Linked DNA regions of Drosophila melanogaster. The protein of the gene in region 2 purifies or fractionates together with the protein of the main gene of each other region. This does not show direct contact. Each region holds a gene or a part of one and is shown on either strand. Other genes may lie near its edges. The genes, in order: nclb and Mybbp1A.

Region 1 (16,379 bases), on a different chromosome or scaffold from region 2:
ATGCCCAGAGGCCACTGCATCTGCTCGCCGAAGATCTTGGTACTAATGTCCAGGCGGGAGACATCTCTCAAACAACGAGGTCGCAAGCGTAGCCGGCGGAAGGCCTCGCGATTCAGTCCCAAGGTGAACTGCTCACCGGCTCCGCTACGGTAGTAGTCCAGGGCATTCTTCTCCAGTTGCCCAACGGCCTTCTTTTCAAAGTCCTCTACGCAAACCAAAGCCATGGCTGTTATATAACAGGAGAATGGAAATATACAATGTTTGACAACACCTCTTGACGCACCTCCCAGACTCGCACTGAACCCACTAAGATTAGGTGCCAGCATCAACGCTTTTGTCCGGCGAAATCCATAAACCGGGGAATCGCGATAAGCACACACTGTAGATAAGGGATGCCTCACCAGCCCGAGATTATGAAGTACAGATCAGCGCAGGGATCATTTAAATCAAAAGACGTAATTTTCCTACTCGACATGGGGGGAAGCTATTGTCCGAAATGATAAGAAGCCACTTCGCAAAGGTTAATTGGAATCACCTACCTCCTGCTGTCTTCCACAGTAATTCGAGTCGCACTTCCACACGCTGGTTCCTATTTCATACGAGAGCTCCACCCACCTTAAGTGGTTCAAACGAGTGGAAGCTCGCTGGGAATTGTGAACTATCAACGGGTTTATTGAAAAACAACGAAAAATGTCTGTAAAAAACTAACTCTTAGAACTAGTTAACCATCTGCGCATACTCTAGACACTATATGAAGCCTTTAGGTTGTTGAAATACTCCAGATCCTTGGCGCTGATCGAGGGCACAAACTTGTTGAAAGACTTCGTGAAATCTTCCTCCTGCACAATTACGTTCTCCGGCACCAGTTCCTTCTCTGATATTGTTCCACTCAAGTGTCCGTCTATGGTGCGCCTCACAGCGGAGAGCCATGCATTCGAGCAGATGGAGTACAGATCTGCGCCGCTCATTTCGCTCTTCAAACGCTCGGCAATCTGTTCCATGTCCACACCGGCGTCCAAAGCGAATCGCTGGGTTTGGGCACGCAAAACGGCTGCCTTGTCTTCGGCAGTTGAACAAGGTCCCACGTAGAAAAGCTTGTCAAAGCGACCAGGACGCAAAAGAGCGGGGTCAATAAGATCCGGGCGATTGGTGGCGGCCAGAATGAATATGGGCTTGCTAGTGTCGCCATCGCTCATTCCATCCATTTCTGCCAATAGCTGCGACACCACCCTATCCATTACACCGCCAGAGTCCCCAGCCACACCTCGATTGGGAGCCAGGGAATCCAGTTCGTCCAAGAAGAGTACACAAGGAGCCGCAGAACGAGCCCTGGAGAAGACCTCGCGAACATTCTGCTCGCTCTGGCCGACATACATGTTTAGTAGCTCTGGACCTTGAACGGAAAGAAAACTCAGGTTGCACTCAGTGGCGACAGCCTTGGCCACCAGGGTTTTGCCTGTTCCTGGGGGACCGTAGAGCAGGATTCCCGATCTTCTTAGATTCTTGCCCATGAGGTGAACATGCTTAAGCGGCAGACCAATGCTGCTCTGGATCTCATCTTTTAGCTTGGCTAGACCACCAATGTCCGACCAATAAACCTTCGGCACCTTGGGCGCACCCAAACTGTCCGCGAAAGAGCTCTGCATGTCAGTGAGGTTCTTGGCGAAGTGAGACATATCCAGGGTGGTCCTACCCAACCTATTGCGAATCTTCATGCGAACCGCGTTGTCGTACAGCAACTGAAGGTCGCCGAGCAGAAAGCCCTGTGACTTTGCAGCCACATCCTGAAGGACATTGAGGGTTTCCCTCCAGCTGGGAGAAATGCGTGGCATGAATTGCGACTGATTTTCCCGCGAGAACAAGGGTAATTGCTCAATAGCCTTCTGATTGTAGATAATATCGTTGAAAGTCTCGCGCACGTGCATCCAGCGAAGAATCTCGAATCGCTCCTCCTTGCTGGGCATGTCAATGTTTATGATCTCCAAGAAAAGTCCTTGGATCATGGGTTTAAGGTGTCTGTCACTGGTCAAAGCCACCACTACAATCGGATGCTTGCGGTCCCTGTTGAAGAGTTCCTGGACCTGCACGTGGAAGGCGGAAAGCAGACGCAGATCCTCGTTACCCTCGTTGTCTATGCCAAAAATCTGAAAATATGAATTGTAATAACCTCTGCACATTTACTCAAAGCCCACGTACCTCGAAGTTATGGAAGCAAATCATAAGCGGTTCACAAACTTGGCTCTTGGCAAATACGGCTTTTAGCTTCATCTCCGTGTGGGAGGGAACTTGCGAAACGATCTCTGCGCAATCTGCTCCGTAAATATGCATCCCCAACTCTTGGGCTACGGCGCTCACAAGCTTTGATTTGCCCGATCCTCGCTCGCCTTGCAGGAGGAACACAGGAAATATGTGCTTTGACGACAGGCAGGCGGACTTTTTTGGCAGGAAAGCATCTACTGAGGAGCGCAACAGCTTATAGGGCTTTCGAAGTCCACTTGGATAGTTCTCAACGATGGCCATGCTGTCAAGCACTTGACGAGGCAGGAAACTGTGAGATGCAGGCACTTGAACAAGGTTGCTAAAGTTTTTGGCAACAATCGCTTGCAGCTCGAACTCGCTGCCCTTTGTCTCCAGGTGAATACACTTTAGGTGGACGTGGCGTAGGTGAGCGAATATCAGGTAATAGTGGGCATAAGTCGCAGTGCCCACCAACTCTGCGTTCACCTCGATGCGGTAGGTATGTCCACGATGCATGAGTCGAGGTGTATTGAAATAGTTGCTCAGGATGACCTCTGTCAGTTCGGCGGGAAGTTCATGGGGATCTGCGACTAAGTACACATGTGCTTTGGTTGCTATTCCAGGTATTGTCTGCTCATCGGCAAAATGCTCTACCTGCACCCAGCAGTTGGAGCGGATTTGAAAGCGATCCAATATGTTGCCGTAGAAGTTCTCCTGAAATTTTACACGATGTAGAATTATAGAAAATATTCCATTTATTTAGAACTAGATACCCACCTGAACGTACAGACAATTGGGTTGGCACTGTGCAGCCGGCAAGATCTGGGCCACAATCGTATGCGGCGCCTCCTGGAGCATTTGCTTGATAACCGTTTGGGTCATATTTCCTTCGTCTGAAGCTAGCGGCTTACCGATTCTTACCCTCCTGCCGCGGATAACCAAGTTGACAAAGTTGACGTCCGGCGATTCCGCATAGTTTTCGTACACCTCCTGACTGGCGAACACCAGGTGCTCCGACTTAATCTGCTCGTTCTTGATCAGCAGATCGTAGAGGCGGTTCGGAATGGGGGTCAGCAGAAACTTGCCCTTGTAATATTTGGCGTAACGCCAGTATACGGCGTATGTCAGATATCCGGGGTAGAGGAACCAGGGCCACTTGGGCGCCAGCAGCTGTATGGCCGAATTGTAGCCCTCGACTAGCTCCTGTACTCTCCCAGAGAAGCTAAATCTCGGCTGTCCTGGATCTTGTTGATCGAACGACACCGAATTCCGCTTGCCGACGACTTTTTTCTGCGGGAATTGATCACGATATTAGCTAATATGGCTTAAATGTTACATATGGACCTACCGCATCATCATTTTCATTCATTTTTTACAATAAATATGGACTAAACACAACAGAAAGCACGAGTACAAGGGTTAATTTCGAGGAGGCGGTGTCAAAGTTCAAGGAGTTGGGGGATAGGCGCCAGACAAATACACTGAAATATGCAATGGCAAGTTAATTCTGTTAATGCACAGCAAATTATTACCCTCTGCTATAAAAATTAGCTTGTTTATTTGGCCAGTTACTTTGTATTTTACCTTTTTCACAATTACTCTCCTCTTCATTACGAATGTTTTGATTCTGGTAAGATATTTGCTCAAAAAATACTAAAAGTATTCAGTCAGCTGTCCACAGTAAGACCTTTATAAGCACATCTTCAAATAATTTCTTTGACCTGCATAAAAGTTAAATATTAATTTTGTAGTAAAATGAAAGAATGAAATATGTCATTATATTTTAAGTAATTCCAAAAATTGGCAAAAAGATATAATTTATAATGTATTAATACAATTTATTTTTAGAATCCGTCTTCGCTAGTGGCTACTGTATATTTTGACTGTACTTGGTGCATTTTAGTATATTTCATTCTCCACTTGGCCGTTTTCAACCGATGCCAACCTGGTCACACTTTTCCACGCATAACAAAATAGTACACAAGTTCCATATATTTCAATTTTCCGCGAAAATGAGCCTGGAAGTGAGCAATATAAACGGGGGAAACGGTACTCAATTGTCCCACGACAAGCGTGAGCTGCTGTGCCTGCTGAAACTCATCAAAAAGTACCAGCTGAAGAGCACTGAGGAGCTGCTCTGCCAAGAGGCGAATGTGAGCAGTGTGGAATTGTCGGAAATCAGCGAAAGTGATGTTCAGCAGGTGCTGGGCGCAGTTTTGGGAGCTGGCGATGCCAACCGGGAGCGGAAACATGTCCAATCTCCGGCGCAGGGTCATAAACAGTCCGCGGTGACGGAGGCCAATGCTGCAGAGGAACTGGCCAAGTTCATCGACGACGACAGCTTTGATGCTCAGCACTATGAGCAGGCATACAAGGAGCTGCGCACTTTCGTTGAGGACTCCCTGGACATATACAAGCATGAGCTGTCCATGGTTCTGTACCCAATTCTGGTGCAGATCTACTTCAAGATCCTCGCCAGTGGACTAAGGGAGAAGGCCAAAGAATTCATTGAGAAGTACAAATGCGATCTCGACGGCTACTACATAGAGGGTCTTTTCAACCTTCTTTTGCTGTCTAAGCCCGAGGAGCTGCTGGAGAATGACCTCGTAGTAGCCATGGAGCAGGATAAGTTTGTCATTCGCATGTCCAGGGACTCGCACTCTCTGTTCAAGCGACACATTCAGGATCGCCGGCAGGAAGTGGTGGCAGATATTGTTTCCAAGTACTTGCATTTCGACACATACGAGGGCATGGCGCGCAACAAGCTGCAGTGCGTCGCCACCGCGGGCTCGCACCTCGGAGAGGCCAAGCGACAGGACAACAAAATGCGGGTGTACTACGGACTGCTCAAGGAGGTGGACTTTCAGACTCTGACCACTCCAGCGCCGGCACCAGAGGAGGAGGACGATGATCCGGATGCCCCGGATCGTCCGAAAAAGAAAAAGCCAAAAAAGGATCCCCTGCTGTCGAAAAAGTCCAAGTCGGATCCGAATGCTCCATCCATCGACAGAATTCCCCTGCCGGAACTGAAGGATTCGGACAAGTTGCTAAAGCTTAAGGCTCTCAGGGAAGCCAGCAAGCGTTTAGCCCTCAGCAAGGATCAACTGCCCTCTGCCGTCTTCTACACGGTGCTTAATTCCCATCAGGGCGTAACCTGTGCCGAGATTTCAGACGATTCCACGATGTTGGCCTGTGGATTTGGCGATTCTAGCGTGAGGATTTGGTCATTGACGCCCGCGAAGCTGCGTACGCTGAAGGATGCAGATTCCCTTCGCGAACTGGACAAGGAATCGGCGGATATCAATGTGCGTATGCTGGATGACCGAAGTGGTGAGGTAACCAGGAGCTTAATGGGTCACACCGGACCCGTATACCGCTGTGCCTTTGCCCCCGAGATGAACCTGTTGCTCTCATGTTCCGAGGACAGCACCATAAGGCTGTGGTCTCTGCTCACCTGGTCCTGCGTAGTCACCTACCGCGGGCACGTTTACCCGGTGTGGGATGTTCGCTTTGCGCCGCATGGCTACTATTTTGTTTCTTGTTCGTACGACAAAACTGCTCGTCTGTGGGCCACGGATTCCAATCAAGCGTTGCGCGTATTCGTGGGTCACTTGTCGGACGTGGATTGTGTACAATTTCATCCCAATTCCAATTATGTGGCCACCGGTTCTAGCGATCGCACGGTACGCCTGTGGGACAACATGACCGGTCAGTCGGTACGCCTGATGACGGGCCACAAGGGATCGGTGAGTTCTCTGGCCTTCTCCGCCTGCGGCCGGTATCTGGCCTCGGGTTCAGTAGATCACAATATCATCATCTGGGATCTGTCGAACGGATCCCTGGTCACCACCCTGTTGAGGCACACTAGCACTGTGACCACGATCACCTTTAGTCGCGATGGAACAGTCCTGGCTGCAGCCGGCTTGGATAACAATCTAACTCTGTGGGACTTTCACAAGGTTACCGAAGACTATATCAGCAATCACATCACTGTGTCGCACCATCAGGATGAGAACGACGAGGACGTCTACCTCATGCGTACTTTCCCCAGCAAGAACTCGCCATTTGTCAGCCTGCACTTTACGCGCCGAAATCTCCTGATGTGCGTGGGTCTATTCAAGAGTTAGGAGCACAGATAAGCTTATTTGGTATACGTAATGTAGTGTTAAGGAATGCTCGGAATGTTTAGGATTAATGTTTTGTATTTCGTTTGTGACCCATCCCCCCTGAAATGTCGATTAGTTGTTTAAGCATAAAAGTGTAAAGTGCATATATGCGCAAGTTATCAATAAATTTTAATTAATATAAAAGTCAATCATTAAGGTTCTTATATATAATTCATATTTATTTAAAAGTCATATAAAGCATATACACAGATAAATACGTAGCTGTACGATTTGCCTACTCTGCATCAGGGATTCCAAACGTTCGGCGCACGGCTATCGAGTTCTTGATGTTAAAGATCGCACAGCGCGGAGGCTTCTCTCCGCCGAAGGCCAGGGTGTAGGGATCCTCGGGGCACTGGCGCATGCACTGCAAGCGACCCATGTTGAACTCGTGCTCGTAGACGTGCTTTGCCTCTGTGCCATCAAAGTTCCACACCTTTAGGGTGCCCTCCGTGGAGGTGGAGGTCAGCAGATTAGGCTTCTGGTTGTTGAAGCACACACCGGAGATTTCCTCGTTGTGGGCCTTTACGGACCACAGCAGTTGTCCAGGAGAACGTTTGTCGGCGTAATGCAAGGTGCCATCGTTGGTGCCCACGATGAAGTAGTCGGTCTGTGTGGGATGCCACAGGACCTTCTCCACTTCACCGTCAACTTTCCACTCAATGCTGGACGAGTTGACGCCCTCAGCGTCGCGGCAATCGAAGAGTCGCACGTATCCATCGGCACAGCCGGTAAGAATGCTTTGAGCCTCTTGCGGATGGAATTCCAGCGACTGAATCTGTTTGCCAAAAGCGGTAATGGTTGTATGAGGCTGGCCCTCGTCCATGTCCCACAGAATCACAGTTTGGTCCACGGACCCGCTGGCCAGAATGTGCTCAAAGTTGGTGTTCCAAGAGAGATCCAGCACGGCGTCCTTGTGTCCATACTGCTCTTTGTTCTGCTTCCGGCTGCCTTTGGAACCCAGCTTAAATGTGGGCTCGATAGCGTCCTGTATGTCTAGATCCCAGACTGTGATTATCGGATCCATGCAGCCGATGGCGCACATGTTGCCCGCCTTTTCGCTGCCCGCGTCGTGATTCATCCACTCGATGCACAGAGGAAAGCTTGGCAGCAGAAAGTCGTGGTGGGTGTAGAGAGCCTCCTCCTCCTGGTTGAAAACCCACACCTCCATGGAGGCGGCGTCGTCTTGAACGTGACCCACTAGAATGAGGTTGTCGCTGGGCTTGATCACCTCGTCCTCGGCCTCGGAGTCTTCGTCCTCATCGGGGATTTGCTCGCCAGCGTCCACGATGTTGGCCAGACTGGTGACATTAGCATTCGCCTCGTTGTCATACTCCTGGAATTGGAACTCGTCCTGCGGATCGCGGTTCTCACTATTGGCATCCGCGTGGTCGTCCACATCCATGTCGTTTTGGTCTTCCTCGGCATTTTCGCCCTCCTCTGCATCGTCGTCGCTCTCCTCGTCCAATTCCTGTTGCGTATCACCGATAATCCTGGCCAGCTCCGCCTGCGTCAGCACGATCTTGTCGGGACGATCCTTAGCCACGCCGCGTGGTACAAAGCAAAGAGCTGGGACAAAATCAATGCTCGGCTCCGGTGGTCCTTCCTCAGCCATTATGATTATATTTTTCAACTTAGTTTGATACACCAAACGAATTGATAAACACGTGCAGTTCAAACAAGGCAGGTTGTGTGACCAGATCCTATTAATTACGCTGTTACTAATACCAAAGACACTAGAATAATAGAATATTCTAGTGTCTTTGCTAATACTTTAAACAAATACTGAAACATACGGCATCAAACGATTTTTATATTTTTAAAAACTGTTGCAAATTTATTCGTTTATTTGGAATTAATACTTCATTAAAAAAAAGTATATATATGATCGTTCCAATTTATTTCCCCAAACAGATTTTTGGCTTACATATTATTTTGATATCCCACTTATCAGTGATTTTCATTGTTAATGCAAGATGCAATCAAAGATTAAGATAAAGAGTCCCATAAACTGGAGCTTTTGCTACCGTCTGAGATACCAGAGATATCTACGATCTTTAATCTTAAAGTTGCCCTCAAGATGGATGCACGAAAGTTTTCTACCCACATATTGGTAACTTTGTTTCAATTTATTTATATGTATAAAATTTTTCGTTAACCTTTTACAGGATACTTCGGTGGGAAAGGCGGCAGCCAATGTGAGAGTAACAGTTTCCAGGCTGGACGAGATTCAGGAATGGAGATCCCTTCGGGCGGCCCAAACTGATGCGGATGGTCGCTGCCTGCTCTTGGAACCTGGTCAATTTCCCGGCGGGATCTATAAGCTGACCTTTCACGTGGGCGCCTATTACGCGGAGCGCAATGTGAGGACACTTTATCCAGCAATTGACTTGATTGTGGATTGCAGTGAGAATCAGAACTATCACATTCCTTTGTTACTCAATCCCTTTGGGTATTCCACATATCGTGGAACATAGCTCGGTTAAAACCGAATAATGGATGTTACACAACTTACAAAAATGTAATTGATTTGAATAAAGGTTTTTTAAATGTTTATTTGTAACATCTCGGGATCGCTTTACACTTCGTGCGATGTTCGTGCATGAGTAACCGTGTCATGAAATCAACTAACCTCACGCTCCCATCCCTATTCGCCAGTGCAGTATCTTGCCATCTCTAGCCAGCATTCGGTGTCGTTTGGTTCCGCTCAGTTTGTATTTAGCGCCTGTCGCGGGAGGTTCGTGCGTTCGGTGCGTTGTCGGTGTTTGGAATTGAATGTTTTTGAAACGGCGATCGGTGGTCGAGTCGTGTGCCGGTAATTTGTATACGAAAAAAAAACATATTTGAAAATGCAAGATCGTTGGCAAGTGCTCTCTGCAAAGTGAGTGAGTGATGGATGCTTGCGTCCTTCAGTTCTTTTCTGATTCATATCCTGCACCGAGGTGCAACAGTTGTTTCGTAGTTGGATTCTGAGTGGAAACAATATTTCCATAATAATATACATATGTGTGCGTGTTTTCAAAAAGAGGCAAACAAGAAGTGGGATTTGTTATTGGAAAGTACAAACAGCGCTCCCATAGACATACACTCGATGCGGCCGAGCCAGCAAATCCCCGACAAATCTTAAACCAGTTTTAAGATACATATTCTTGGTGTCAGTGTGTGCATGTTGATTTTTTCCGGCATTGTTTTCGTTTATTTTTTTTATACTCCGCGCTGCTGCTGGCTCTGCATCTTTTTTGTGTACCCATACCCTTTGCGCCTGCCCCTAATCGCGTTTCCATTTTCTGGCCATCGTCCAGATCCGAGGTTTTGCTTTTGGGCTCCGCGTGAGCAACAAGTACCCCCGCCTAGTACCTATACCTATACCTATACCCAGACCCCTGCCATCATCTATATCTGTACCCATACCAAGTGCCTGGCCGCGTCTCGCTCCGCCTGCCATCTGAAAACCCGAAAAACTCGGAAAGAAACGAGCTTAAATTCTAACGAGATCAGCACGCCAGTTGGTAACTCTGCTCTCCCCAATTGGTCCAATTTGAATGCGGTACGAAGCACCTCCAGAATCCGGCGAAGATCGCACAAGTAATTCCGAAAGGTGAGTGGCGGTGGCTTTAGGTGATCTCATCAGGAAGCTAGGAATAATCTGTTGTTTTGGAATATTATTCAATTGGGCGAACAAACCTGTTGTTTAAGATTCACCCCACTAAGAAACCATTCTGAAGTTATGAAATCCAACTTGTTTAAGTTCACTTTTCTTCATCTTTTCCCAAATATATTACGCCGTGCGAAAATTAATAATTAATAAATAAAATTGATTAATTAACTTGTAACTTGAGTTCAAATATCATAAAAAGTATTTATTGAATTTAAATAAACTAAAAATCATCTGCCATTTATGAAATCTAATACTTTTAAGCTTTTGCTCGTTCTTCTTTAAACAAATCTTAAACAGATTAAATGTTTCATGGTTAGCTTAATATTAGTTTTTTATTATTTTAAAATGATGAAACAATGAAAGCATTCTCCGGTTTGAGCTAGATTCGAAGCTAAATTAAAATGTAGATTAAATTCAATTTTATTGATTGTGCAAAAATGTTGCCAGAACCAGTTGAGCTACAACAGCAAAATTAACACTTTCATTGTTCATTCGCCATACAAGTTCTTTGAAACGTGGGAAACAGTTTATGTAAAGTTTATATTTTAATTCGATTGTTTTTGTTTATATTAAATATATTTAAATTGCCAAGTTGTCTAGCCCGAGGAATGTTACCTCACCTTTTCTGCGACATTTCGCACAATTCGGTTTACCTAATAATTGAAAGTTCGGCGCCGAATCAAAACGCAATCAATATGACAACTTGCTAACGGTCAATTAATCACAAGACCCAATGATTTCGACAAAAAGCAGCCGAAAAATTGTGTATATGTAATTGATAATCGATCCAACGATAAACGCTTTCCTGGCCCGCAGCTCTGACCAAAAGCAATCATTAATAACTGTAGTCCAGAGATAAATTGAACTATGGCTGCGAATACCGTTAGACGGGTCGCTGGAAAAGTGTCAAAAATCGTAACCTACGTGGTTATAATTTGCACTGACGTAAAGCCAAAAACCCAATATGCGATGATCGTTAAACGCCGTAGGCAAATTAGAGAGCGGCTAAGCGGCCAAAGTGCAGAAAAGAAGGCAAAAGTTGGCCGCAAAAACAAAGCAACAGCACCAGGAAAAAAAAACATCGAAATACGAAATAGTAAAAAATAAATGTAAAAACCTTTAAGTCTGCAGAGTGGGCGGGGTAGAAATGGGGGGAAATCGCCAGTGCTTGAGCATGTTTGTCGTCGAGTTCAGCTGACATCGCAAAATGGCAAGAAGTCTCTGTATGATGCACAGAAAAAAATAGTTTTTAAAAACATCCATGCCAAATATTGCAATGAAATGCTAATTTGCAGTTCTCAGTCACATATTAGAGAAATATTTAATAAGATTTACATAAATAATTGCGGGATGTATGAACTTAACATATTCTGTTGAAGAAAAACTTCAGCTGAAAACCAATTACATAACTTACAAATCTTCGTCCATAATCAAAGTTATCCTTATCTTTCTTTCAAATAACTATCTGCTTCGTACAAATTCTGTGAATAATACCCATTATTTGCCGCCGTGTAGCTAAAATGGCAAGAGCAAACAGGAAATGAACCCGCATGCACTTTTTCAAGTACCTTTCGTTCGAATTCGCTGGCCGATTGCATCGAGTTGTTCACTCGAGCACCGGAGTTGGAGCTGCGACTTGAGCTTGAGCTTGGTCTAAAGTAAATTTTGTCGTCGTCTTGTGTTTCTTAGTTCGCCTTTAAGTTGTGCACATACCCAGCGACTTATACGAATGTTCCATGCGGGTATATTCGCACTTGCAGTTGTGAGAACAATGCTGAATGTGCGAACTATTCAATGCAGTTTCCCACCAATTACATTTAGCCTTGAATACCAATGGGCAATTGCGTGGGGCTAACACTGTTTCAACTGGGAGCTTAGAATAATTCGTTCATTCGTCTTACTTATTCAGAAACAGTGTTTAATATGCTTTTCGAAATGCAGTAGAGATTCAAATGTATTTTAGATACTTAACCTTCAAGATTAAAAAATGGTTGTGATGCATATAACTAACCTTTACCATCTCGAATTATCGAATATCACCTGCCCTTGCTTTAGTTTCTATAGTTTCTATAATAACAAAATGTTGAATCTCAAAATCACAATTCTCCGCGCTCAGCAGTTCAATTGAAAGGTATCGCCATGGCGAATGTGCACGTCTAGCCTCACCTTTTAGTTTTATTTCATTGCATTTTGTTTTGTTAATTTCCATGCAATTTCAGGGCATTTCATTCCGCTTGCGCGTAGTTGTTGTTCCCGAACCCCAAGTAGATGTTTTTCGCAATGTTTGCGCAGTTGTGTGGGCATTTGCATTTGTATCTGAGTGCGACTGTTTGAGTCCGGATTGCAGGGGTGCGGATGTGTGTGGAAGTGTGAGTCGGCCAACCTGTTCGGAACTCAAGGAAAATGAGTCAGCAACGCCGGGCCGGGCCGTGCCGGGCCGGGCTTTCGCATCCATGAGATACATTTCGAGTAGACGCCGTAAAGTGTTTACCGAGGACATCGAGGTCTGCGGGGTCCTTCTTCCTTTCTGACCTGCACTCAAGCGTTTATCCGGCGAAGGTTTTGATTATTTTGTTTCATGTGCCCTTAGCAATGTCTCATATTACTTGCAGGGAATGGGGGCTTGTTCATATGTATATACCTACATACATATGCATGTATCCCCTGCCATCCGTATCTTTTCCTCTTCGCTTTGTTCGTCGCCCCTTCGCTTCATTTCCCGGCTATGCATGGGGCCACTCTAAATGTGTTCAATGTGTAGTTTCCGATAAGCATGCATTATGATATACACTTCGAGGCCGAAGTCGTACTGCGTCTTTTTAATTGAGCTACAAAATGATCTGACACCAAAGAGCAGGTTACATAAAAAGATACATTTCCAAAACCATCTACCATCCTGTAGGAAGAAACTAATATTTGGAGATGCATTAATATTGTTTTTAGTAGGTAGAAATTTTCTTTAACCTGCTCACATTTTCCTTGATTTACTCGCGTAAGATGCACGACCTTGACAATCTCTGGCCAAGAGTCTCGGCACAATTATCGTGTTTGGCTTTAATTCCACACGCTTCGTCTACAATGTTTACCAAACAGATTTGGAGTGCGCTTAGTACCTTCCTTACCTTCCCTTACCTACTTTATGCCCAAAAAATCCAAGTGGATTGCAGCAGGTGGCGTGACTAAGACATTCCGCCATGGCAAAGTGAGTTTAAAAAAAAAAAAAATCAAAACTAATTTCAGACTTTTTGTAGCCGCTCTTTTCGGTTTGTTTCTTCTTTTTCTGTGCACTTTATAGTTCGGTAGCTGCTGCTGCTGCTAACAAGCATTCAGTCTTCCAAGCTGGCTTTTATTTTAGCCAATTTTTTATATTTTTTTATTTCTGCACACACATGAGCACTTTTATGGTTTCGGCATTAAAAATGTGGCGCAAAATTCAAACACAGAAGGGGAGTGTAATTGAAAAGGCATGAGAGATGCTACATGGGTGAGGCTAATGGGGGGACTTTGCTGGTTTTGCAAGGCGGTTGGGGGGGGGGGGGGGAGAGAGATGGTATTAGCCGAACTCAGTCGCGCACTAAATCCCAATGGTAACGCACCCATTAATCACAAAAGAGAAACAATAATGCTCGGACGAGCGAAAAAGTGGTAAAAGCCGTTTCCAAAACAAAGCCAGTTGAGAAACGACTCAAAGATGTTCCTCCAAGATATCAGCCAAGTGTTAATTAATAAGTTTAATGTTTTGCGCCATGAGCATAAGCATTCTTAATATAAATACAAGTTTAGTGAGTCAGTCAAGTGGCGCTACTCAAATGGAATAGTATTGCTTTCGACGAAATTTAGCTGCAGCATCTAGTGATTTAACTGCCTGACATTTCCACATTTCAGGGTGTGGTGCACTCATCGTCACCCATTCTATAAGGTTTAATTAATCCGAATTGCGTTGTGCAAAACAGTTAGCTTCTGTCTCTTTGTCTTTGCCAATTTTTTGTGGATTGGGGAACGGCTGTAATGGGCTAATTAAAAGCATTGTTAATGGGATTCAACGGGGGAGGTACACACATACAAGCATACATATTTCTGTAGACAAGTGTATGAAAAACAGGGAAAATACTACACTCGTGAGCATGTGTTGCCAATTAATTAAGTGAATTAAAAAGGGGTGGGGGCATAGGAATATGTCACTGTATCAATTACTTTGCAAATGAATGCGATGGGAAGTCAAGGAATTATTTTTGAAGCTAGAATAGGATTACTAAGTTGTTTATTTTTCTAAGATATTAGACAACATATTTTCGTCTGTAAATAAAACATACTTTATTGTATAAATCATTTGATATTTATGACTGTATAGTTTTCGCTTTAACGTTAACTCGTAAGGGAATCTCTTGTTTGTAAAGTTCTTTGTATATTTTAACTCATATTATATTATATTGTATTATCCCTTACCGCATTTGTATTCAGCACTCAATGAGAACACTTCGGTTGAGCCCTGCAATAAACTGCTATTATTAGCAAGCACTTATGCCCGTTTTGGCCAGCTCATTAGCCATTCTGGGCACAAGCCACGTAACAGTAACAAAGCATAAAAGGCGAAATACACGAGTTTGTCTATATGGCTATAAGCCATTCCATATTCACACCATTCACGATGGTTTATCAGGTTGCATGCACGCGACTCAAATCAATTGCCACAATGACACACATACAAATTGTTGTTGCTGCTTGATGGTAGATACTTCTCGCAGTCACTGTTACAGACCCAGACAATAGCCTAATGCCCAAACCAGAACGATGACGAGGCAGTACCGCGAAGAAGACCTTCACGGTGGCAAACAAGATGTACATATATGCAAAAGTATATTCTGTAGACTGAGTAACAACACCAGTCGCATTCTATATTCTACGTCATCCAAGGAAAAGGGGCGGTGGGAGGGGCTCGCTCGAATCGAGACAATTGCACGTGCTTTGCATGTCGAATTACAAAATAACGAGAACAACAACTTGTAACTCACTTTACAATCGACAGCTACGCAGAAGCTCTTTTCAGTTACAGAGCAACAGGTTTTTGATACCTTTAAAAAAGCACTCAGAAAAATAACAAATACCTTTCATAACAATTGAAAACAAAGTCTAACTGCATAGTCCAAAATATCCAAACAAAATGTATTGTAATTATTAGTTGTTTTTAAAAACTTTCGATGCAGGTGCATTAGTCATAACATTTTGCTTGCTTAACGTTTGACTCTGTCAAGCTGCTATTCTATTCTTTTAATTTATTATATTATATAATATATTTTTGTTCTTTTTTTTAAGTAGAATTTTTATTTTGCTCAAAAAGAATCGCTCAGAAGAGGGGGCGTTGTTTGCTTTCTTGTAGCGGTTCTTCGTTCTGCATAATTAGAAGGCCTCTTCTTCGGGGCATCAAATATTCAATCGACACAATGGCACACATTCGACCTCTATTCTCCTCGCGCTTTGTTTTGGCCAGTATATCTTATATTTTTATTTTGGCTGCTTTAATTTTATTTGGGTTAATGCTGAAAAATTGTCAGAGCTGGCATACAACTTTCGTTGGGCCAAAGAGCGGAAAAAATGAGAAAAAAAAACTAATCTTTTGCACACCAAAGCCGACTTCTTCGCCAAGATCATGTCCGGCTTAGTGTCCGGGAATTATAAACTTCGTTTATAAACAAAGTTTGACGAAGAGACTGGTTGCCTATGTTAGTAACTTTGCTTTTTATACTCACAAGAGGTTAAAACGATTAGGCATTAATGTTGGCCAATCTTTTTGATGCGTTTCTTGTATAATTTGCGCGCTATTAGCGTACTTATTTTTAAGCACTTTTTTTGGTTTACTTTTTGGGTCATTGCTATTAAGTTTTTAGGTAGCAGATGGGTGGTTTGTCTCTTTGGTAAGGTCGTACATATGTACATATACATATATCGTGAAGAAAAGCCTAACGACTTACGAACTTGGCGCAGTAAAAGTTGTGCAGAAATTACACCGACCTTGAATTATGCTTAACCTTTAGTTTATTTACTAAAGATTTAACTATTTCATTAGTATCAATTCTTTGTTTGGATCTTTACATTGATGACCTATTCATCTTTAAAAGGTTAATAAATTAGAAACGATAAAATATTAATAGATTTCCGTCTTCTCGAGCAGAGCTGCAACGAAAGCAGAGCTTAATCGTTTGACTAATAAATATTCATCTTGTTATTTATTTACTTTCCCTTTTGTCCATTTATCAGTTGGGGATGTTAAAGGAAATGTTTCACTTAATAGAAGAAATGAGCTCTCCAGTCTCCAGATA
Region 2 (16,379 bases):
CTCCTCCTGGTGGCGGGCTGCCGCCACGTACGTTCATCATCTCATATTCGTCCATGTCCTCAACGCCGCCTGGCACCACAGACACGTCGTTCTCGTCACGTCGGGAACGGTTCTGGAAAGGATTAAGATAAAGTCAATAGGAGTTTCAATAAGAAAACATGTGTGTGTTCATATAACCTTTTTAACTATTACTAAAATCCCTTAATGAAACTTTCTGCGGGGATAACAAAGCGGCGTACATACTTAAACCACAAAATATAATTCTAGAATTCACGGGATGGACATCCTGGCGAGGAACCCCAGCAAAGTCTCGGTATCCCCTATAAGAACAGCAGACGTGTTACATTCCACATGGATATTTGCTGCGTTCGCGGTACTGATATAAAGAATACTGTACTGTAATGTCATATCAGATTTAATTTTCTGCTCCTATTCCCTATACTTGGCCTAAGATCCCTATACTTGGCCCTGCCTTGTACACTGACCCAATGTGTTGAAACAAGCTGAACGAGCCATGCAATACTAATCCCGATGGCTAATGATAAATTAAGTGCAGGAGAAGCGCGGAGTTGGGTCGGAACACAAAACAATTGGTCGTGGAACTTGGTCACGCTGGCTGGGTTAACCGCTTCCATGTAACACCCAAGATCAATGTTCTATTTAAAAAGGTAAATATGGTAAAAATCATTTCATAAGTGCCAATCGAAGGCTAGCTACAACTATATAAATCTTGCTCCTGGAGCAGAAGGGTATACTGCATTTGTCAGCTAATGGGTATCTAATAGTTGCATTTGGACATAATGTGATGGCCTCACCTGCTGCTCCTTGTCTTTCTTCTGCTCGCGCTCACGTTCTTTCTTGCGTTTCCTTCGCCTGCTGCTGCGAGTTGACTGAAGAAGGGGATTGGCGGTAGCCAGTCCCTCCCCGGATCCCTCCAAAGACTGATCGCTCGTATCCTGGTTAGACGAACGCATGCGGGGCATTGGGGGCTCTATGCCCTTCTTCTTGAGGGCATTGGCAATCGCCAACTCAATGCTGCTAGCATGGTCATCTAGGGAATACATCCAGATTAAACAAGAAGAATCAATGAAACAACTGAATGAGCTTTCACCTTCTAATGGGCGAGGCTTTTTTGACTTGGTGCTGTTGCTGTTTTGGAGGCAAACGGCATCTGTCGATGGTCCCACGTAAACGACATCTTCGTCGTCATTTTGGTTCTTAGCCTCGACACCCACAAACTGCACATCGTCGTCCCCTACGAAAGTCTTCTTTTGGACTTGGATTTTTGAAGATTGCTGCTCGTCCTCCTCATCGTCGTCGATCTCGCCGTCCTCTAAATCCTCCTCCAAGTCAATTAAGGGTTCATCCGCTAAAGCGACAGACATTATCGATTTGGCAGCTAATCTCTCACAGGATGAGATTGGAATAATTGGTGCCCTTAAAAAAAGTGGCCTCCCTCTTCTGTTGCTGCACTCTTAAGTGTTTGGTATTTGGAAAAGCTGTTGATAAGGGATCGGATTTTGAATACCATATATGGATGCATAAATATGTTTTAAGGTCAAATTCCCAATCTAATCATATATAAGGACGTCTTATAATTTGTCTTAACGTCCAATTACAATATAAAATGGTATCTTAAAATAAAGCAACTGCTAGTATTAACTAAAAAGGTGGAATGTACCATAATACGCTTCTAAGTGAATAAAAACGAATTAATAAATGTAGTTTAATGCCCCTTATTCTTTTTTTCCAAAATCATTCGGGGATTATTTGAATCACCCCATTGGCGGTCAAAATTTTGAACACAAATGAAAGGAATTGGTTAACACTAAAATCAAGCGTTGCTTGAATAAATGCTACATTAATGTTTTTGAGGTAAATACAATATAAAATGGCTGGTATCACAAATGACTACGGATTCAGAAGGCACGTCCAAGTACTAGCGACAGAAACTATTGACTTAAGATAGACCACCCGGATCATACGATCCTGATGCATTCAGTCAGAGTCACTTTGTAGCGTGGGCAGCATGGCTGCGATGAATGTTTTGGGCACCCTTCCTTATCTCAGCACTCGGAAAGTTTGAGCACTTTTCGCTGACAATGGTTGGATTGCTCTTTGTTGGTTGGTTTAAGTGGGATCGGATCGCTTAGGTTTAGCCTGGCACTTAGCTAGTTCCAAAGTGCAGCAACAAAATAATAAGCAAATCAGTTTGATGAATTAAAGGGTATGGGTCCTGGACATGCTTCCAGTATAAAATAAAAGTGATCAACAAAGTTGCGCTAGCACATTTGTTGTGTGGAGAGAACGAGAAAGGAAAATACACTTTTTACAATTGGCTTAACATAAAGATTCAGTTATACGTAGTTTTGGACAGCGAAACAAATTCCAGAATCCGAAAAGCGAAAGTCGAAAGCAACGGAGTGGCTTTCCATTGAGCCTAGGAACAATGGGGAAGTCGTAGGCGTTTGCCTTTATTATTGTGCGTAAGCGGAGTGAACCGTTATGAGCCACACGCGCATATGTACATGTGTATGTAAATGCTCGTAGCATTGTACATATGGCGCGGATGCGTGTATATATTTGGATGTAGCTGATGGACGGAATCATTGCGATTGATGAAAATAACAAAATCCAATGCGTCTCACACACGTGCATATAGAGCGCGTGTTTAGTTCTGACTCGCGATTGCCAAGCATGTCGACTCGCTCGCACACTCATGATCTAAGCAGGGCATACACACACACAGCCGAGGCGTGCAGTGCGAGTGCGCGTGTGTGTGTCGACTGCGAGGCAAAATGTTTTTGTCTTTGTTTATACATACATACATATATTTTACAGCGACTTCAAAGCGAATTTGAATATAATTGTTACACTTGAGGTGAAAGTTTTTGTTTGGTTTTCGGTACGATTTGTTTGAATGCTCTGTAAATGGAAGGCGTTCATGCGTGTGGCTTCCCTGCTGCGCAGTTTCCACTTGCATATGTACGTACATACGAACAGCAAAAGAAAAGCACGCAATTTATCTTTTTGTTTGGCTGGCGTTCCAAAATCAAGTGTATGCAATTTAAAAAATTTGCACCATCTGTCCCTTTCTAGCACCCACGTACGTGGGCGTGGGGAGACATGGCCCCGAGAAACATACATACATACATGCATACGCACACATGCATATGCATTGAAGTACATACAAAAATCTGGGAACTACTTATGCCATACAAACATTTCATTTGTTCGATCTTACTCTCTTAGCGTGACTGCTTTATGCTTTTTTGTGGAACATTAACAACTTTTCGGTATTTGTTATAACATTGCTGTTCGGTTTTCGGTTTATAGATGGGATTTTGTTGGTTCGTTGTTTTGCATTTCGCATTTTGCTTTTCGGATTTTCTGCTTTAGTGTTTTGTTTGCGTCGCTGCTTACATAATGTGGAAGTGGTACAGTAGGTGGATAAATATATACATATATATAGAGGCATACATGTATGGGATATAGCAGTGGCCTCACATAGATGTGTATATACATGCATATGTATATATATGTTTGACATACATCTGACTTATACGTATTTGATGACGAAGTGGTTGTGAGGTACATAGATAGGTACGAGACAAATCGTCGAATTTTTCGCCAGTTTTCGTAAATCGAATAGCGGCTTTAGTTTTTTCTTCTGATACTATATGTATGTACAGATTTATATATATGTGCGTGAGGCAAGCGCGCGCTCTCGCTCGCACCCGCTTGTAGCTTGCTTTCGCCCTCTTTCTCTGCCTGAGGGCCCCGTATCTCAGTATCTGTCCCTTTCTCTCTGTCTGTCTCTGTTACGCTCATGGACAGAATACAATATACAAAAACATTAAATTAATAAAACTTTTCGTCCAAAACATAATATTCAGGAGTTGTGTTGTTAACAGTTCAACAGATCGACTTAAACGAACTAGAGGTGTGGAAACATAAAAATACCAGTACATCGATATTTTTCGCAAAGAACATATCGTCGTGTTGGATGATATTAGTTAATCGATGTTTTTACCTAGTATATTTGGTATTTCCCCAAAAACCGTGAACGCAAGCTTACTTTTAAAGCTAAAGGCTCGCTGGCTGCGACATTTTTAAATATTAACCGATTGTTGAACCGGTTGTTAAACTTCTATATCAAAAAACTACATCATCTGTTTCTTAAGTATAATTAATAGGTAGCACCCCGATCTTTCGCTATTGCAGAAAACATATCCATTTATCGATATCGATCGGTGGAAGCTCTTCAGGCCACGGCTATCGGATGTCAGCGAGTGCAATTTATCGGCCATTTCCTAAAGTGAAACATTTTTGTATATTCCCGATCGCCATGGCCGGATCAAACCTGTTGATTCATCTAGACACCATCGATCAGAACGATCTGATCTACGTGGAACGTGACATGAACTTTGCCCAAAAGGTATGGCACCTCCCTGGGAGGACTTTTCGAATATGACTCAAATGTTTTACACATCCGCTAGACCAAAGTGTTAATTAAACAGTAGAACCTTCGTTTTCTTCTAGGTGGGCCTCTGCTTTCTGCTTTATGGCGACGACCACTCGGATGCCACCTACATTCTGCAGAAACTTTTGGCCATGACACGATCAGACTTCCCGCAAAGTGATCTACTCATAAAGTTCGCCAAGTCCCGGCCAGAAACCTGGAGAAGACATCTCGTGGAGGCCCTGTGCATTATTGGGGCCCGCAAGGTGCTCCGGAGACTGGGTTTCTGCTGGCAGGAGCTGCGAATGCACTACTTGCCGCATATCGCTGGGATCACGCTGCATGTCCATCCTCTGTTGAAGAGCCTCTACAGGATGTGTGAGGAGTTGTCGTTGGTGCAGAGTGGCCGCTTGCTCCTAGATGTTCGCGAAAAGGTGGAGAGCCAGCAGGCAGGAGATCCACTTCGCTTCTACGATCCCGCGTACCTGGAGATCTTTTTGCTGGACTGGCTGACCAGAAGGAGCATAAAGTTAGGGGACATAAATGCCGCAGGCAGCGATGTTCAGCTGCTGGTCGGCCATTTGAAGTCCAACGGTCTGCAGGCGCAAGCAAATTTGCTCAAAGACACCATCATTAGTAACGCTCCGGAGCCAGATGCGGCTGGCACTGCTGCGATGGCAGTCAAGCAAGAGATTGAATCGGATAACCAGCAGTCGTACTGTTCCACACAAATAGATGCTCTTAAGTTGACCCGGGAGAACGCAGGAATCGCCTTGATTATCAACCAGCAGAAGTTTCACCGGAATGTTAGCAGGGATAATATGGTTTCATCTCTGCAATATTGAGTAACAAAAAGAAGTACAACATTGCCCTTCTCCACAGAAATTTCTGTCGCCCGACCCACTGCGTAGACGGGATGGCACGGATGTGGATAAAGAACGACTAATCGAGGTGTTTTCCTCGATGGGATACAATGTGGAGGCGTACGACAACGTGGATCACATGGGCATCATAGAGCGCATTCGCAGTGCGTGCGATAGATCGCTCGTGCGCGATTCCCTAGTGGTCTTCATCCTGAGCCACGGCTTCGAGGAGGCCGTCTACGCATCCAACAGCATCGCCATGAAGATCACGGATATCGAGGACTTGCTCTGCAGCTACGACACCCTGTACTACAAACCGAAGTTGCTAATCATACAAGCCTGCCAGGAGAAGCTTGTCCATAAAAAGAAGCCAAATGAGCTCGTAAGGAGATTTATAAGCATGAAGTCGTCGAATGGGAAAGCCTATACATTTTCGTATTCCTCTTTCAGTTTAGGATAGACGTGACCACCGTGTCGCCGGACCAGCACATCGACATGCTGCGGGCCATGTCCACGGTAAATGGATATGCTGCTCTGCGCCACACCCAAACAGGTAGCTGGTTTATCGGGAGCCTGTGCGATGCCATCGATCGCCGTTCCGCCAGGTAAAAAGCTGCCAAAGCAAGCTAGCCCCGAATTAATGCATAAGTTGTTCTTTGTTACTTTAGTGAACACATCGCCGATATCCTGACGATTGTCACCAACGAAGTGTCTAAAAAGCGAGGCAGTAATGACGAGTCCATGGTGCCGAATGTTAAAAGCACATTTCGCCAGCACGTGTACTTTCCACCTCGTCTGTGATTTTGGTTTTTAACGTTAGCGCAGTTGTACGTCCACTCAAATTGCTCTATAAAGGTAAAAATACATTTTTATAAAGTTTAGTGTACTTTTGCTATTTTTTCAATGACTTCAATACTAATTTAGTACTTTTCGTCAGAATTTTTTAAAGAACAAAAAAATTAATAGTATCCTATATTATGCAAGATATTTATACATCTAATTGTAAGGTTTCTTATTGGGGTGTTTCCTTCTTTTACGTTATGTGGACTCTTCATCTTCCACGACCATAGGTTTGGCGGCTGCCTGCTTCTTCTGCTTCGCCACCTTCTTGTTGGGTTGAAGATCCTTGGCGACGAGCTGAATTTGTTCACGCAGTTTCTGCCACTTCTCGCCTCCTTGGGCGAGGATCTTAAGCAGCAGATTGAGTTCCTTGGAACTGCTAGCCTTCGTTTCTAGCTGATTTACATATCTGGCTATCTGCTTCTCAAATTTCTTGGAAGACGAGTTGTTGTCCTTGAAAGCGACTTCGAGCCGGCGACCTTGCTCGCTGAGCAGCTTCAGTATCTGTGCCCGCCGAAAACTGCGTGTTTTCTGTACGTCCAAGTGAGAGGCCAGGACAACGGCCAGCGGAGCAACTCCCTGCCATTGGCCAGACTGAAAGAGGGCTTCGAAACTGGCCAGAGAGAGGCGACTACGTCGCTTGGCTACCCACAGCTCCAGGAATTCGACTAGAAGGGGCCAGACGGCACTTTTCTTGGGCTCGCCATCTGCTGATGCCTGGCTGACCAGGTAAGCGAAGCACCTGTCCCGCCAAATAATGATGTCTCTTTTGGCCTGTCGGCTGGCGGGCTGCTTGCCGTTCTCTTGGTCCTCTTCTGAATGCTCCTCGCCAGACGACATCAGCTGCTCAATGGCTTCCAGAATGGGTGCGGTGCTCTGATTTTCCTTGAGTTCGATATTCCTAGCGAGTATCTTTTTGAGCAACTTCAAACTGGCTTCTCGCAAGGATTGTAGTTTGCTGTCTGCGGCGCAATGGCTGTACACCTGGAACACGCAATGTAGCACGTCCAGGATTACCGATTGAGTTGGTTTCTTGGTTATGAAGAGCTCCAACAAATCCAAGGCACGAATGCGGAAGTGCAGCAGGTTGGTGCTATCAATGCGTTCCGATTTGGTGGGACGCTCCTTCTCCTGGGCTTTGCGCGACTTGGGTCGGAACATCTGAAAAGACCGCTCCAAAGCAGCATTCAAGCGTTCGCCCTGCTCCTCGTCCACATCGTTCCAATCCACGCTGCTGGCGCCATCGTCATCAGCGTCGCCATCGTTGACCAAAGCCTGGCGAACGCTCTCTCGAATTTGGGCCAAATGGGACTCTGCATCGTCCTCGCCCTCGTCCTCCTCTTCATCTTCATCTTCATCTTCTGAATCATCGCTTGAATCCTTCAACGATTCTTCCTTGTCGAGTTCGTCATCGCTCTCCTCCTCGCCATCGCTCTTTTTGCTCAGGGGATTTTTGTTCATGTTGAGCACTTCGAGGACCTGTTCTAGGTTACCGTGCTCAAGGTGCGGAATCAAAGCGGTGGCCACCAGTTGAACAAACTCCCGCCAGAAGTGACCTGTTTGCAAAAGTAACTGGAGTAGGGCATCTGTAAGCACGTCCTGCCATTTGAGCTCTTCGTTAACCTAGAGCAAACCAGTTATTTTAGATTTAGGATGACATTGAAGTATAGGTTCTCTACTTACTTGCTCCTTGCTCTTTTGCAGTGCATTCTTACGGCAGATAATCAGATCTTCCAACACGGTGATGGATGGGGGAATCTTTGTGCACAAAGCCAAAGAAACAAACAGGATAAGAGCCTCGAATGATTGGCCAACGACATCGGATTCCTTGCTGGGCCGCTCCAGCAGTTTCTCGACCTGCTTCCATGCCTTTTGCAGTGATTCGTCTCTCGGCGAACGCAATTTGCTCTCCGCATCCGGTTGTCCCAACTCTTTGTTAAGGTAACTCAATGTCTTCTGCAGCAACTGGCAAAGTCCTGGCAGACCCGAGCACTTGTGCAGCAGGGAGCCCAGGAATATCTCCTCACAACGCGCCGCGCACTGGCGACTAAAAGCGCTGGCTTGGGCAGCTTCACACGGCTTCTTACTGGCATCTAAGTGGAAAAGGCCAGCGAGCAACAAGTAGTTCAACTGTTTCTGTCGCCATTTGGCTGTCTGACTAAGCTTTGAGTGGTTCAGTATCAATTGCATCTGGTTAAGGCAGTGCACTCGGCTGACTCTGTCCTCGTCCTCCAATGAGTACAGCTTGTTGTTGTAGTAGTCGTACAGCTTGTGAAGGCTCTCGACGCTGAGTTGATTTATCAGTTTCTGGCAGAAACGCGGCAAGGAAATCACCGAGTCCAGCTGCAGTGTGTGCTCCAGCAGTTTGAGCAGCAGGTGAAGTTTGTTATCATCGTTTTGGAACTGCTTTTCGTAACACAAAACCAAGGATCCCTCGAACTTGAAGCAAATCTCCTTCAGCTTCTTTAGCGACGGTTTCTTGCCCTCACCTTTGTCCCATTTCACAGATGAACATTCATGCAACAGGAACTGTACACAGGTCGGTGTAAAGATATCCAGGATGAGTTGTTCTTCCCTTGGCTTAAAGTTGAGGAGCACGTGGCTCAGTACTTGGATGGCACACGCCTTGGCTGCATTCAGTTTGAGTGGCTGCTTAGAATCGATATATTGCTGCCAGGCGGCGAGCATATCCTTTCCGCCATTAACAAGAAAACTAGCCAATCTGGCATATACGCCATCGCTGTGAATGGTGGAACCGGAGAAATACAAATCGAAAAGCTGTGTGTACACTGGTTTCTTGGGCCACAAGCTGGCTAGAATGTTCTCCCGTCCCAGTACGGACGAAAAGGTCAGATGCACGGCGAGCAAGACATCGCAAGTGTTCACTTTCAAGCCACTCAACGGCTTGTTTAGCTCGGGTTGCAGAAGTGGCCACACGTACTCCTCGAAGATCGCAGCGGGTAGCTACGTAAAATCATAAGAAACTGTAGTCAATCTCCTTCAGAAAAGCTTAAGCACCAACCTGTTTAAAGGAGACCGCCAGGATATCACCACACAGGGACACCAAGTACTCCCTGCCCTTTAGCTGGGCTGCCAGAATCTGGAAGACTGCCGTAACCAGCTTGGGCTCGGCCTTAGCGAACTGCGGGGTCTGCAGAATGCAGAAGGCTGTAACCAATTGACCGACGGCCGCTAGTGAGTCCTCCTTGCCCCTCTGCTGGCTGCCAACGGCCAGGTCTCGCTTCAGAGTCTCCAGAACCTCAAAAGCATCAATGGCGGGCACGGCGTTTAGGATGCAGTGTATGTAACTGGCGGCCAGGCTCACCGTCTTCATGTCATCTGCTCCTGTGGAGCGGATCAGGCGCTTGAGCACGTAGCCGGTGGTCGCAGTGCGCTGAGGACGAAGAATTTCAACAATTAGTAAGCGAAACTACTTGGACAGCTGGTAGGGACCAACCTGCTCAGCATTTGTATCATCGCGCAGCAGTGTTATGAGCGAATTGATCATCTTCTTGGTCAGTTGACTGCCCTGCATCTTTTTGAAGACCACAAAAACGGCCTTGTTGATCTGAGACACCTTCAGGTTGGCGTTGCTTGCGGTATTTTCCTTTTCCTCGGTCTCCGCCGGCTTCTCCTTCTTGGACTTCTTCAAAATCTTGGCCGGTATTTGCGAGTCCGCTTCGGATTTTTGAGTTTTTGCCCGCTTGCGGTCCTCCTTGGCCTTTGTCTTGGTTGCATTTGGTGCACCATTGGTTACGGGTTTATCCACCTTGCTCTTCATTTCTGCTCTGTTTTTGGGGATCACTTAATTTACCTTTAAATTATTTCGGAAATAACGTCCTATTTCTATTTTATATGCACGTGCGCAAAGTTGAGTTATCGACAGCCGGAGGGTGCTATCGGAGCATATTGTTATTTAAAATCGGAAGGCGGTAATTCGCCTATCGAAAAGTTTCCCCTGAGCATTTAAAATTACAAGCTGGATGATTTCTTTACCCTTATTTCTTGTTCAAGGGGTCAGTCTCTATTTTGAAGTTTAGCCATAATATTTTGCACATAATATTGGCTTGCCAGTATCAGCTTCTTGCTAGTTTACCACTAAATACCAAATGTTGAAATCTTTACATTTTCCGCACGCGCAAATTTGGTTCGATTGGCAAATTGGACAGTCTGGCAACGCCCGCCCGCCTATCGATAATAAGGCACGACTATCGCCCATCTCCAACTGCCATACTGTTTCCTGTCCAACTTTTTTCGCTCTTTCTTTCTTTTAACAGCGTCTGAGGTGGAGTGTTATTCCGCGAAAATAAGTCTGAATTGTAGTGCAATCACTTGCGAAGTGTGTTAAATCAAGCGCTGAAGCGCATGCAACTCCAGTGCGCTTGATCCGCACCGCATTTCCTATTATATTTTTTTTTTTGAGTGCTCAGCTATTATTTAGCGCCCGCGTGCTCGCGGCAGTCGCAGCAAAGATTGATACCTGTGTGCGAGTTTGTGTTTCATGTGTGCGTGCCTCTCGAAAGACCAGTGAACAAGGTCCCCCCTAACCCGACTCACAGTGCAGTTGGGACGCGGGCCCTGCCCTTTTCCTCGTCAGAATTCGCCAAGGGCAGGGACACCTCGCTTGGCAATTTCAGACGCACGCACAAACGGGAAAGAGCTGCCTGGCGATTTCCGCGAGCACGCGTGTGCCTTTTTTTTTTTTTTTTTTATATCATTGATATTTCATTGAATACTTTGATTTGTGCTAGGTGAAGCCCACTAATAGTCTCTCGTTTGCATCCTCAGTTAAAATGGCAGTGCGCTACGAGCTGGCTATTGGCCTGAACAAGGGCCACAAGACCTCGAAGATCAGGAATGTGAAGTACACCGGCGACAAGAAGGTCAAGGGTCTGCGCGGATCGCGCTTGAAGAACGTAAGTTTGCACGCCCGTTTATTCTTTGTTTACACGGACGACTCTACTCTTAAATTCCTTGCAGATCCAAACCCGCCACACCAAGTTCATGCGCGACTTGGTCCGCGAGGTCGTTGGCCACGCTCCCTATGAGAAGCGCACCATGGAGTTGCTGAAGGTGTCCAAGGATAAGAGGGCCCTGAAGTTCCTCAAGCGCCGCCTGGGCACCCACATCCGTGCCAAGAGGAAGCGTGAGGAGTTGTCCAACATCCTCACCCAGCTGAGGAAGGCCCAGACCCACGCCAAGTAAACGGACGGAATCTGATTCGACATCTCGGCATCGGAAGGCAACCTGGAGCGCCGTGTTATGTTCTCATTTCTTTCCGATGACGTTACTTGAGAATTAAACAACTAAAATTCGTTAAAAAAAAAAACCAATCACCACAAGTGTGTTTATTTTTTTCGAGTGCAGAGGAAGCTAACCTCACAAATGGCCGCAAAACTGAGTGAAAGAGTTCGAGATATGATAGGTTGTAACCTACATACATCTTCCTAAGAGAAGGACTACACTTTCAATTGAGCTCAGTTTAATGATAGCCGCCACAGAAGTGTGGCTTTACAGCAGCGATTAAAGTGCTAAAGTTATCCAAGGTCGGTCCCCAAATTTCAAAGATTCAAGCGTAGTAAGCATTTTTCATACGTTGAAATACTTTCCTGTGTAGAAGCACATTAAATACTGATCATCTTTTAAGTTTGTATAGATCATCTGTATATTTCGTTTTTCTCTGCATTTTTATTCGCTACACAACTTAAGAAATGAAGTCAAGTCACTTATTAGCTACTTATAGAAATTCTGGGCAAAGAGAAGCAGGCGCGCACGTACGATATGATAATATGATCAATGGAATCAATGGATTTTTCGGTGCGAACCTACTAAAACTAAATAGCCCTTGAAACTCTTGTGTCATCTTTGGGGTTAAAGGATTCGATCTAATGTTAAATGGAGGAGAATTAAAATATATGGCCAGCGAACAAGTGAAGGCAGTTTTTCAGTTTTCATACACTCTATTAAAGTAAGAACCGAATACAAAGGTGCGAAACGTAAATGAAAACTGATATTGAACATTGATATACTAATTAGTGAAATTAAAAAAGTGAGGCACAATAAAAATACAAATAAGTTCACAAATATAAAGCAAAAATTCAATGACAGCAATACAAGCAATGAGAAATGGCCTTCTCCTATAAGTGCTGCAGAATTCAACACCCTTAAGCTGCTAGTTTTTTTATTCAATTCCCAGAGTGGCTGACTCCTTGATCCTTACACACTACGATTAGTTTTGTTTGTGCAGTGGGCAGGGTATCGCGTCCCCGGGTGCTATCTCATCCAATCGCACTAGGTTCTAGGTAGGACTAAATGCTTAATGTAATGTAAAGGGCACACGAGATCAAAGGGTTGGCTGCCGGGCGGCTCTATTCCTCACAGCTCCTCTGCTAGGCTGGGCAGGGAGATTACCACTTCACCCATCAGCTGCGCCTCGTTCGGATCATTCGAGACGATGATGCGCTCGAACTCGGTATTTGTGGGATCCACGATCTCGTAGCAGGATCCTGTGCCCGGTTTCGCTAGCGAGTCGTTCACCTGCGGCGACAGTATTTGCTGGGTCACCTCCAAGCTCTCGAGGCGCGTCGTCTCGAGGCGGTAGAACCCGTTCTCGTCCACCCGGTAGGTGAATCTTTTGTGGCCCGAAGGCAGGCGGAAGCCGTGCTTCTTCATAAGGTGAGCGGAGAGCGACTTGCCGCTCTTGAAGAAGCGCTCGCAGCAGTGGCAGGCGTACAGAATGGGATTGTTGCCGTGCACCTCGAGGAAGTGCTGTAAGAGAAACAGGAGGGTTACTTGCGGTCGAGCGAATGGCAGAAAGGAATCCAGCTTTGGGGAACGGTGGCTTACCCGTCGCATCTGCGTGTAGGTGCGTACAGAATAATGACAGTCGGGATGCTCGCACTGGTGCACCGTCTTCGAGTGGACAATCTGAACGTGCTTGGCCAGATCCGACTCCCGAACGCAGCGCGTGTCACACTCACTACACTTGAGCGGTTTGTCCTTGAGGTGGCGGTACCGAATGTGGGTGGTCAGCGAGCTGGCCGAGCTGCAGGTCATGTCGCACATGGTGCACTTGTAGCAGTTAACGTGTCGCACCACGTGGCTCTTCAGCAGCTTCTTGGTGGCAAAGAACTTGAAGCATTGGGCGCACTGGAAGCTGTTTGCTGTAACAGATTAGAGGGTGGCCAAGTAGTTAAGTAAACTAAATTAAATCATTGCGGGTTTTGTCAGGAATAACGTATGGCTATAGATATGGCAGCAAGGGTTTTTTTTATGTGTTTTTAAAGAGCAAGTCTCGCACTCACTGTTGTTTTCCGGCTGGCGTCTAAGGTGATCAAAGAGCGTAGTCTTGGTGCGGAACAGTTCGCCGCAGTGGAAGCAAGCCACCTGCTTCTTGTTGGAGTGGGTACTGATGTGCTCGATGAGGCGGTACTTGTTGCCCATGTGCTTGTGGCACATGGCCCAGTTGCACATCGTCTTGGGCCGCTCGTCTTCCGGCGTCTTCTGTATGTCGTACTCGAATAGGGCGTGCTTAACGATGTGGTCCTGGAACTCCACAATCGAAACGAACTCCCTCTCACAGTCGGTCCAACCACATCGAAAGTTCTGGCCCAGAGCGGGCAGCTTCTCCATGAGGCGGGCCGGAGCAGTGCAGGCGGGGATTTCCGGATGCAGATCGCACTCCAGCTTCCCCTGCAGGAGCAGGTTCAAGTAGTAGCCGTGGTAGTACGAATGCCGTTCAAACTCCACCTGGTTTTCGGTGCGGAAATCGCAGGAGTTCCATGTGCATTGATGCTCCGTGTGCTCCGCATGCGCCCCCCGATCGTCCTGGGCCTTCGCATAGTGCTCCAGATGATCCCCAATATGCCCGTTCAGGCTCCACTCGCCAGTGCAGATCTCCTGGCAGTCGCGCCATCCGCAGGTCAGTTCCAGTTCCGCGGGCTTCTTTCGCTTGCCAGGCGGCTGAGGCGCAGGCACTGATGACTGGGGCCTTAGCATGGTTTTCCTGACAGGATTTACACTCTTAATCCCGGATATTAGTTGAATTTGAAATTAAAAGTAAACCTGGAGCAAACAACAACTTTATCGACGAGCTGGTCCAATCGATTTTTCATCGATACATCGCTTTTGTAAAGGTCGCTCAAGAAATCGATGGTAAATTCCTCTTCCTTTTGAATTAGTTGAATAGTTAGTGGTTTAATATTTTTCAACTTATCTATGTTTTTTTTTCCGAAAAGTCATTAAAATTCCATCGACAAAATCGACATTTTTTTATTTTGGCTGGTACACATTGCTGTTAAGGATGACTTTAAGTTCGCTTCGAGAAGCGATTTTTAGAAACAACATAATTATAATTTCATATAAATTTGTTCTTATAATTTCATCAATTAATTGAAATATATGTCCAGTTCCGATAACACGCACAGCCAATCGAAAGCGCGAAGCTATCGATTGTTCTCGTGGTTATCGTGCAGCGGAAATCGGAAAAACGTGTGAAAAAGGTGCGTGACTTTTTGTTGTGGAATCCAACCCGATTTTCATAGATTTTTCCTCCCACGCAGTATAAGCGAGCAAGTATGTCTGGACGCGAGGGCGGTAAGAAGAAGCCTCTGAAGGCGCCGAAGAAGGACTCCAAAGACCTGGACGAGGACGACATGGCCTTCAAGCAAAAGCAGAAGGAGCAGCAGAAGGCTCTGGAGGCGGCCAAGGCGAACGCCTCAAAGAAGGGTCCTCTCGTAGGAGGCGGCATCAAGAAGTCGGGAAAGAAGTGAAGCTGCCACGCCTCCATCTGTAGTCCGCAACCCACTGGATTCTGGACGCTGAATTGCCAGCCGAAGCACACCCATGTGGACCATAATCTTTTTATACTTACGATTACCATTAAATAGATCATTGTACGTCAGGATAGAGATTTATTGTTGCGTTGCATTCTTTTGGGGATTTCCCTCTAAGCGTGTGGGAAGCTCGACTGCGTCCCGGGTAGCTGAACGGATTGCGAGGCCACGGCACAGGCGGCGGCTATGTGCTCCTCCAGTTTCCTCGTTGGATGACGGGCCAAGTTGTGGGCCAAGGCCCCAATGAAGGCGTCTCCAGCCCCCGTCGTGTCCACCACTTTTTCGGGCGGCACACTCGGCGCAGCCACATGCTGGCACACGCCCTTGGAGTCGGCGGAACCGAAAACGGCTCCTAGTTTGCCCAGAGTTATGATCACCGTGTTGGCACCTGCCGCTATCAGCTTTCCAACCGCATCTTCGGCGTGCCTGGCAGAAGTGGGACCCGATTTAGTTGGCAGTACGACTGGTTTACGCTTACTCGCACTTACTCTATGTTGCCAATGTCGGGCATCTGAGTCATCAGTGCCGCCTCGCTTTCGTTCACACAGAAGATGCTGGCCAACTGAAGAAGTTCGGGGGGTGTGTCGGCCATGGCCGGAGCCGCATTGACGATGGACACGCCCCGGAAGGCTCTCAGAGCGGTCAGGGTGGCCTCAACGGGCGTCTCCAGCTGGCACACCAGAACTTTGGCTTCCTGGAAGAGCGCCTTCGCCGAGGAAACGTCACACGAGCTCAGTCGATTGTTGGCGCCCACCACAATGATGATGTTGTTCTCGCCGCCATCTGACACGGCTATCTGGGCCACGCCCGTCGTTTCCTCCGCCAGCTGCTCGACGTGGTTTACATTGACGCGCTCCTCGCGCAGATGTCTCAGGTAGTCGCTGCCGAATGTGTCTGCCCCCAGTTTGGCCACCAGAGCTGTTCGGGATCCCTGGCGCGCGGCAGCCACACACTGATTGGCGCCCTTGCCGCCGTAGCCAATCTGAAAGCGATGCCCATGGAGCGTTTCTCCGGCTTTCGGTAGACGGGTCGTGTAGCTGGAAAAGGTGTTGTATTTGTAAGATTCTCCTTGGGATCGAGCCTTCTCTGCCCACCTACCTTATAAAGTCAATGATGGCCGAGCCGAACACCAGCACTTCCGTTTGGGCCATTGCTGCAATTGCACTAGTCTCTTGTGGGTAGTCTGTTATTTATAGTTTCTTGTGGAATGGAGAAGCAGAGACGAGAGTTCACTGCCGCTTATCACTCGAGATTACTTGACCTCGGTGGAGGAGGGGAAGGGCGACAGCGGGGCAGCCGAACGAGCACTATCAGCCAACTGGCCCAGTCCGCTTCTGGCCGAGATCGGGGAAGAGGTACGGCCGATAAATCGGCGAACTA

What was found.
Region 1: the proteins of Mybbp1A (region 2) and nclb purify together in Drosophila melanogaster (affinity purification with western blotting, with the first as the bait; one study listed by BioGRID). This does not show direct contact.

The regions. Positions count from the first base shown.
Region 1 is NT_033778.4:10,867,477-10,883,855, reverse strand, and holds nclb (no child left behind), read right to left. Parts: upstream 8,109-16,379; 5' UTR 8,020-8,108; coding exon 6,640-8,019; 3' UTR 6,560-6,639; downstream 1-6,559. Other genes in the region: Hao (hydroxyacid oxidase), read right to left, coding at 1-224; Pex6 (peroxin 6), read right to left, coding at 741-2,144, 2,197-2,952, 3,016-3,528, 3,823-3,849; Taf5 (TBP-associated factor 5), read left to right, coding at 4,251-6,365; CG30016 (uncharacterized protein), read left to right, coding at 8,485-8,517, 8,573-8,881. UniProt on the Drosophila melanogaster protein: Chromatin-associated factor that regulates transcription. Regulates Pol I-mediated rRNA biogenesis and, probably, Pol III-mediated transcription. Regulates the localization to the nucleolus of Cdk7, a regulator of the Pol I-elongation factor TFIIH.
Region 2 is NC_004354.4:623,453-639,831, reverse strand, and holds Mybbp1A (MYB binding protein 1a), read right to left. Parts: upstream 10,060-16,379; 5' UTR 9,947-10,059; coding exon 9,623-9,946; intron 9,560-9,622; coding exon 9,188-9,559; intron 9,130-9,187; coding exon 7,849-9,129; intron 7,789-7,848; coding exon 6,364-7,788; 3' UTR 6,199-6,363; downstream 1-6,198. Other genes in the region: su(sable) (suppressor of sable), read right to left, coding at 1-112, 816-1,051, 1,112-1,385; Dredd (death related ced-3/Nedd2-like caspase), read left to right, coding at 4,349-4,438, 4,543-5,286, 5,345-5,707, 5,776-5,930, 5,994-6,126; RpL36 (ribosomal protein L36), read left to right, coding at 10,959-11,081, 11,146-11,370; Hinfp (histone H4 transcription factor), read right to left, coding at 12,541-12,933, 13,012-13,328, 13,470-14,163; CG13364 (uncharacterized protein), read left to right, coding at 14,742-14,936; CG13369 (uncharacterized protein), read right to left, coding at 15,113-15,425, 15,488-16,036, 16,098-16,150. UniProt on the Drosophila melanogaster protein: Has a role in rRNA biogenesis, cell proliferation and tissue growth by contributing to the localization of nclb to the nucleolus.